Linked DNA regions of Arabidopsis thaliana. The protein of the gene in region 2 interacts with the protein of the main gene of each other region in a pairwise test. Each region holds a gene or a part of one and is shown on either strand. Other genes may lie near its edges.

What was found. Proteins that work in one complex are often made in the same cells at the same time.
Region 1: the proteins of AT1G23890 (region 2) and AT1G03070 interact in a protein complementation assay, tested with the Arabidopsis thaliana proteins (one large-scale study listed by BioGRID).

What each region holds. Positions count from the first base shown.
Region 1 is NC_003070.9:728,251-732,092, reverse strand, and holds AT1G03070 (Bax inhibitor-1 family protein), read right to left. Parts: upstream 2,264-3,842; 5' UTR 2,070-2,263; exon of another isoform or gene 1,954-2,069; 5' UTR 1,946-1,953; coding exon 1,678-1,945; intron 1,597-1,677; coding exon 1,483-1,596; intron 1,178-1,482; coding exon 1,020-1,177; intron 918-1,019; coding exon 714-917; 3' UTR 528-713; downstream 1-527. Other genes in the region: NET1D (kinase interacting (KIP1-like) family protein), read left to right, coding at 1-299.
Region 2 is NC_003070.9:8,438,381-8,442,884, forward strand, and holds AT1G23890 (NHL domain-containing protein), read right to left. Parts: upstream 2,487-4,504; 5' UTR 2,424-2,486; coding exon 2,369-2,423; intron 2,285-2,368; coding exon 2,114-2,284; intron 1,798-2,113; coding exon 1,633-1,797; intron 1,502-1,632; coding exon 1,301-1,501; intron 1,216-1,300; coding exon 1,118-1,215; intron 1,037-1,117; coding exon of another isoform or gene 1,033-1,036; coding exon 520-1,032; downstream 1-519. Other genes in the region: AT1G23880 (NHL domain-containing protein), read left to right, coding at 1-256; GAMMA-ADAPTIN 1 (gamma-adaptin 1), read left to right, coding at 2,999-3,030, 3,388-3,690, 3,866-4,007, 4,106-4,279.

The DNA of each region.
Region 1 (3,842 bases), 7.7 Mb from region 2:
GCAAATCATCAATGGATCTTGATGAGAATGAGAGTAGCAGAAGGAGGAGGATATCAGAACAGGCGAGAAGAGGATCAGAGAAGATTGGTAGGTTACAGTTGGAGATACAGAGATTACAGTTTCTGTTACTGAAACTGGAAGGAGATAGAGAGGATCGAGCAAAAGCAAAGATATCGGATAGCAAAACGAGGATTCTTCTTCGGGATTATATCTATAGCGGAGTGAGAGGTGAGCGACGAAAGAGGATTAAAAAGCGGTTTGCGTTTTGTGGGTGCGTGCAACCGCCTCCATCTCCTTGATAGTTAGAACTGTTGTTGCAAGTAAGCTAAATAATGTTCATGTGAATGGAAACGTATTGAAGTTTGATATGAAAGAGAAACACTTTTGCTAATATCTGTTTTTTGCTTTTCCGTAGGGTTTAAAAGAAATTTGTATATTGCTAATAGTTTAAATTCCAAATTTGTTCTACGTTTGCGTTTCAATTTTCAAAGCAGACGTAGCTGTGGTGTGTTTAAACAACAAAATCTACCGTCTCCAAGCCGCAAATTTCAATACTATTCGATTACTTTAAAAGATACACTGCCAGGTTATGTTTTGTACATGAGAATACTACAGAGAAAATAAGTTTCGTTAACAAACAATATTAGAGATTTACACATTTTAAAAACATGATAATAACACTGATCGAGACTTAAAAAAGGAGTAAAGAAGCTTCACTCGGCAGCTCTGAAAATGGTAAGGAGAGCCAAGAAGAGGTTGATAATATCTAAGTAGAGCGAAACTGCTGCCCAAATATACTCATCGTAGCTGTAACGTTTGATGAGATTGTCTGTATCGTAAACTATGTACCCGCAGAATATTATCGCAGCCAAACATCCATAGATCATCACTGAGATCCGTCCCAACGGGAAGAAAATCTGCAAAAAAACAAATAGAACCCAAAGCACCACGATCAGGCTCAGTTTTAAACCTGAATTTCGAATGTTAAACCAAAACAAGCAATTGTAAGGGACAGGAACCTGAATAAGGGCAAAGACCATGAGAACGATGAGAGCACCAAACAAGAATGGACCGAGGAAGTTAAAGTCATATCCTTTCTTTGCTGCCCAAAAGGTGTAGACGGTTAAGGAAAGCACCACTACTGTTGTCAAAATCGCTGCCTCAAGAATCACTTTCCCTGTTCCAACAACAAAGTTCCAAACTCTAATGAATAAATTTATACTCCCAAAACTCTATGGTTCGTTTATCGAATTTGGATTAAAACAATCCAATGTTTCTATGCAACCATGGAACATCAATCTTCAATGAACCAGTTGTATTGAGTATGAGGAAATTCAAACCCAGCTCAAATGTGTTGGAGGTCTCACAGACTAATTTTATATTATATCTTAAGCGTGTGATTTCAAGCAATTAATAAGACCGACCCTTGAAAGGACAGAAACGAATAAAGAGAACTAGAGTGTTTCACAAGGAAAGCCTTACCGCTGGTGAAAGCACATGTTAATCCGACGGCGAAAGCCAAAGCTACCGTGAAAATCCCTAGAAGCAAATAATTCACTGGATGTTTCTGGTGGTAATAGTACAAAGGACACATTACTGCAACAGCAAAACAATAACAAATTAAACCAAAAACCTAAATCAAATAATCATCGAATTAATGATTGATAATTTGGTTACCTATAAGAGGCGTGATGATTAAGACAATCCAGAGAGCGAGACCGGCACTAGTAGTGGCGAAGAACACGGCGATCGGACGGACAAAAACCACCGTGGAGGCGACGGCGATGGTTGCTAAAAGCTGGAATGCGATTATGGAATATACCTTTCTGATGAAACCCCATCGGAGTTCGGGGCTCTCAAGCATAGTCGGATACAGAGATCTCTCACCGCCTTCACGGCCGGTCTCCACGTCATCTTTTCGGTAAGGAAGATTCCACTTATACATTCTAAAAACTGTAAATCGAAGCAATGGATTCTGATCAGACGAATGGGGAAAAAAACGCGGGAAAATTCTATTCCTAGGTTGTACTACGAACCAGAGAAGGAGACGATCGAGAATTAACAAGTACCGGAATTTGTTTCGCCGGAGGAGAAGTTATTTTGTTTGTTTCGTTACGATTTTCCCGAGAAAATGCGAGAAATTTGAGATTTGAAGGTTGAGAGAAAATTAGGATTTTTCAAGTTATAAAAGCAGTTGCGGAGAGAGTAAAGTAGAACGTTCTTGAAGGCACCACGTGGCCGCGTGTGAAGATGAAACGTTAAGTTTGTTGTTAACCGTAAAGACCGGAAGTCTCTAGATGACTCCAAAGGTTTCAAGTATTCTCTTATAAGAATATACCAAAGCTTCCACTACATTATTATTTTTTAACGAAGGACATAAACTATAGCATCATAAATTCATAATGTAAGCAGAATCGTTATATCCTCCGCATCCTCCGCCATGTTCATCACAACCCCCACCGTGATGATCACGAAAGCAACAGTCTTTATCTATTTCCATGTGTCATCGCCGGTAGTGACTGTTCGAGTTTAATTATTCTCCGTCACGAGACAACGATAACAGATGCTACAACAAAATACAGTACCAACGATAACAACCAAACTAACGGTTGCTTACACGTACGACGACAATAATATAAACTTCCATCATTGCTTTTATGTTGTTGTGGAATTTGTTGCGACAACTTTTCCCCTAAATATTCTAAGTTCTGAGCATACAAATTTAGCTCCTCTATCCGTATTTATACTTTTTTTCTCCTTTCATTTTTTTTTTTGTTACTTATGGATTAACTGTTAGCGTAATAATGTGTGGTTTGAGGTGTTTGAAATTAAATATCTTAACATATAGTATGTAACAAAAATTTAATATATGTTAGCATTTTACATTAGTGTGACACATGTTTGAAATTATCAAACAATTTTTAAGATAATAAGAAATAATATATGTGATATATTGTATTAGCAGTATAAAAGAAATATAATAACTTAAATGAAATATGCATAACTACTAACAAAGTAACATATATATATTTCTTTATTTATGATAATTATTAAATAGTAATAATGTTTGAGGTGTGATAATAAATTATCTTAATATATACAAAACCATATGTTTGAGGTGTTGATGACATTTCTAGTTAATCAAAATTTGTGTTACTGTCTCGTCGTCATATATAAGGTTTATGTGGGCCTCATTTGTAAAAGAATTACTTAAAAGTGGGCTTTCACAAAAACATAGGACATGTTTTTAGACTTTTAACCTTTAAAGGTCCATTGGAATTTTTTTGTTGGCAACTCCTATATTAGAACTTAGTCCTAAATGATTATAGTCGTCACATACAAATATTGGTGTTTAGATATGACATGAATCAGACAAATGAAATACTATAATAATTGTTGGAAAATTGTTTTAGAAGCAGAATTCGGACCAAGTTCTATCTTTAATTTTTTTCTGAAAATATATCGTCTCTTTATCATCAGATGTTCTACTTTTGGTTGATGACTATTTACCACCAGTACTATAAGGTTTATTGTTTGTTTAACATACGCGACCTCTGCATTTTGATAGATAGATAAATATATGTTAGAATTTTCTCACAATGACATAGTTATATTTTTAAGAAATTCATATATAAATTAAATATGAATTTAAATATGTTTCGTATTATTATTAAAAAGACATAAAAGTTTTGGTCCAAAAAGTGTTTAAATTTTGCAAAGAGGGGATCACGTTTCGCAATCGTTCAGCAAACCTATACGAACACGTGGCATTCTCGTCCCGTGGGCTCTACTTGCGATTGTAGACGTGAACCTAGAAACTACATTGGCCCTTGTTTTTCTTA
Region 2 (4,504 bases):
ACAGCTGCGCCAAAGCCGTGCCTTGTACAGAAGCTTGGACGCCGAATTCCTCCAGGAGCAGCAACAAGAGAAGCATCAGCAGTATCACCATAGGCATCACTCAACAATCCCATACACTCTTTATGAGCAGAGCAGCGAGAAGACTAATGAGATTGTGTTTGGGCCAGGCCAGGAGCAAGACCAGATGAATACTCATCAGAATATCCACCACAGAGCTCACCAATTTGTGAGTTACCCATATGGATACTATTCATAGACATGAGAAGTTGCTTAATATGATAGTAGTAGTAGAGATTGGGAATTCAGGTATAGTTTTTTAAAATTTGTTGAGAAGGCACAATAGGGATTTGGGTATTTAGATCTCTCTTGTAAGAAAAGTACCAAAGATTAATCATTCTTCCTTGATATAAAGAAAAAAAGATGAGCACTTCAATAAATATTCAAAGATTTTTCAACTCAACCAAACTTTACATTTACAAAAGACACATACTCTCTGATTCATGTGCTTTTAACTGAAACCTACTCAGTAGATGAAGAACCATGAATTACAGTATCTTCTTCAGCCATCTTTGAAAATTCTTCAACATGAACCTTTATAATGTCATCTATGGTTGCATGAGGAAGAGTCTCTTCATTCCTGCAATCTTTGTCATTGTTAGGTTCTTGTTCATCATCAAAGCTTATTAGGTCAATAAGATCATCAGAGGGTTTCAGTGAAAGGGGCGGCTTTGGGTTGCCGCAACCTGGACTCTCGGGATCAGACACAGAGACTGTTTTGTCTAAAATAGCTACATTATTGGGTTGACACATGAAGAAAAGGCTAGATACCATCGAACAAATTAAACTACTTAGGGCGGAATACATGAGGGAAAGGTGAGACACGATCATCATAACTAGTCTACTTAATACTGAATAAACGGTTGATTCAGCAACTCGGTTTCTAATGTAGGAGAAGAAGGTCAGAACTTGTTCCCCCAATTTGGTTAGGAGAAGCTTCCATGTCATGATGAACGAGAGGTGGTTCACTTCTTCCTGTCTATAACGATTTGGTTTAAGAGATTTGATATGTTGATTATACACTAGTATGTAATATGAGGATAGATTAAAAAAAACTTACATGACGGATGACGTAAGGGCGAACAGCAAATCCAATGGCTACCCCGAGAATGCAGGAAAGGACAATCCCTATTGACCAAAGAGAGTATGTCCCCAAATCTGAAACAGTGAAAGAAGAATCGTTGAAGTTTCCAAAGGCATGGTTAGTCAAATCCACAAAAGATTACTTATAGAAAAGACATACTAGAATGAGAGTTTTCGAGGCAATCCTCCTCCTTAAGATTTATCTGGCGAATCATTTCATTTCCATGATCAGAAACAAGCAAACAACATCTTTGAGGAACAAAAGTTATCTCGAAATCGCTAGAGAAAGTAGCATTCTGTGCAGGTCCATCTCTGTGTCCAAATGCCTTTGAGATCCCTCCAGCAATGGTGGTTACAGAACCTACAAAGTCCAGTAAATAAAACATGCATAATCAAAATAAACTAAGTGGCTCTTTCAACAAACTAAGATTAGACAACAACAACAACTAGCATTTATACAAAAGGAATACAAGAAATGGATTAAACAAACACCTGAAGAGCTGATCTTCCGTATAGCTTTATTACTCTTATCAGCAACATAAACATTCCCTTTAGCATCCACAGCAAAACCACGGGGTTTGCTGAACCGGCTGTTACCAGCTTTACCATCTACATGACCCGAACTCCCATCCCCAGCAAACCGGTTTATCACACTATCTGCACAACCACACACACATACTCAAAGTGAGCTCAAACTTCAATTGAAAGAAAGATAAACAAAATTTTCACTTATAGTAAAGTTTAGAACTTTTATTTGCAGGTTGATCGTTTCACACACATACACACACATATTAGTATTGTGGTCCAATTTGAGATTACGGAGAAAGAAAAAATGAAGGTCAAGACTTGCAATCAAAATCAACAAGCTCTAAACATTTACTTATGCATCCATGAATTTACAACTCATATACAAACACAATTATAATGATCCGATTAATAGATGAGACAAAAGAGTGGTTTTGTGGGTGTTTACCAACGGACAAAGGAAAGGAAGTAGTGTAAAATGTACTGCCGGAAGAATCAAGGACGATCAGATTAGAAGATCCTGGTAAAGCATGAATCGTGTATGGATTCAGACCAGACTTATGGCCATCGACCACCGTTGTGACTTCGTACCCTTCTTCTAAAACTATCTTACCACTCACTGTAACAAAATCATGAGGAAAATTAAAAATTCGAATTTTGGGTTGGGAAATTCAACTGAATTAACAGATTTTTGAAAATATACCCAGATTGAAAACGACGAACAAGAAGAGAGACACGGACGAAAATCCCCAAGCCATGTCAAAATCGAGAGGAGAAAGCGACTGTTCTGTGTAACTTGTGTTGTGTTACTTATTTTTGCTGCTTAGCATCTTTAAAGGTTTTAAAAAGATACTAGGGCCTGAGCGATACTATGATGTGTTCAAGTGTAGGGGAGAATTTGTGTAACAACCAATGAAAGAGCGCGTATCATCGACCCTCTCAAATTTGACTAATAAAAACGGCCCAAGTAGGGCCCATTTATGTGTTTAACTATAAAGAAACGGCCCAGTCTATGTTTTTGTTTTGAGAGGATTGCTGGTCGAAACGTTACCGTTTAGGTGGAAATGGAAGTCATGTTTATACAACGCATTTAATTTGGCAATTATGGTTTACGAAGACTGAGAAGAAAAAAACGAGCATCGTCCATCGAGATCCAAATCCTCAGTTTCATTTTCATCTCTCTCTCTCGTATTGATCAGCTACTCGAAACTCCGGTAACGGATTTTCACAATCCCGGCGGCGAAACTCTTCTTCCCGGCTAAGTTTTCATTTTCTTCAGATTCCTCGTAAAGTTGCCGGTGGACCAAGGTCCAACTCTTGAACACCCCAAATCATGAATCCCTTTTCTTCTGGTACTCGTTTAAGGTAAATTGATTCTCTTCTTTCCTTTTTATCGTTTCTGTTTCAGGTTTCTTAGTCGTTGATCAGCTTACAAATGAAATTTGAATATAACATGATGTAATTGAGCTCGTTTTCATTTGAGGATTGAATTTTGTTGATTGGCCTGTTTCGAAGATGAATTTGGTATTGGTGTTTCTGATTCCATTTAGAATTTTGATTTTAGTCTAAGAACATGATCACACTAAGGATTTTTGGTAATCCTTTTGCTTAATTTAATTGAATATTGGATTGGTCATGTTGCTGTTGGGGTTTAATAGTGGAATCAGATCGGATTATTGTATATGGTTCTGAAGTTATAGTGGACATATGAGTATGATTCAGGGACATGATCCGTGCCATAAGAGCATGCAAAACAGCTGCGGAGGAGCGAGCTGTTGTAAGAAAGGAGTGTGCCGATATTCGAGCATTGATTAATGAAGATGACCCGCATGATCGGCACCGGAACCTTGCGAAACTCATGTTTATACACATGCTGGGTTATCCCACACACTTTGGGCAGATGGAGTGCTTGAAGCTAATTGCATCTCCTGGATTTCCAGAGAAGAGGATTGGATATCTAGGGCTAATGTTGCTTCTTGATGAGAGACAAGAAGTGTTGATGCTTGTCACAAATTCGTTAAAACAGTATCCTTACTAATTTCTAGTATTAAATCTTGATACCTTGGCCTTTGAATGGATTCTTCTTCTATGTTAAAAAATACTAGAGAACACTTGATTTTTGATTGCATTGCTGTTATGGGAATTAAGGAGAAAAATATTTAAATAGATTTGTTCCTGTTTAACCTTAAGTCACGTGCAGAGATCTTAATCACTCGAACCAGTATGTTGTAGGACTTGCTCTCTGTGCTTTAGGGAATATTTGTTCAGCAGAAATGGCCCGTGATCTTGCGCCAGAAGTAGAAAGATTAATCCAGTTTCGTGACCCTAATATCCGAAAGAAGGTGAAGTGTTTTCTAATTCATATACAGGGTCTCCTGGAGTTTAGTCGCTTTTTTTTTTTCCTTCATTGCCTTTACCATTTATGTTGTATTATATGCAGGCGGCGCTTTGCTCTACTAGAATAATAAGGAAAGTTCCAGATCTAGCAGAAAACTTCGTAAATGCTGCTGCTTCCTTGCTTAAAGAAAAGCATCATGGGGTTCTTATAACAGGAGTTCAACTTTGTTATGAATTATGCACGATTAATGATGAAGCCCTAGAGTACTTCAGAACGGTAAGTCTATAAATATTATACAGAACACTCTACTTATGCATACAGGAGCATCGACGTAATTTAATTGAATATGCGTACATATGATACTATATTACCTGTATGATGCTTTTGTGTACTATTTTTCTCTTGCAATAAAGTTTGATATCTGTGGTATTCACTTATAAATAGATTACTCTGCTGAAATGAGGCAGACAATCAGGTTGTTATATTGTTTTATCAGACCGT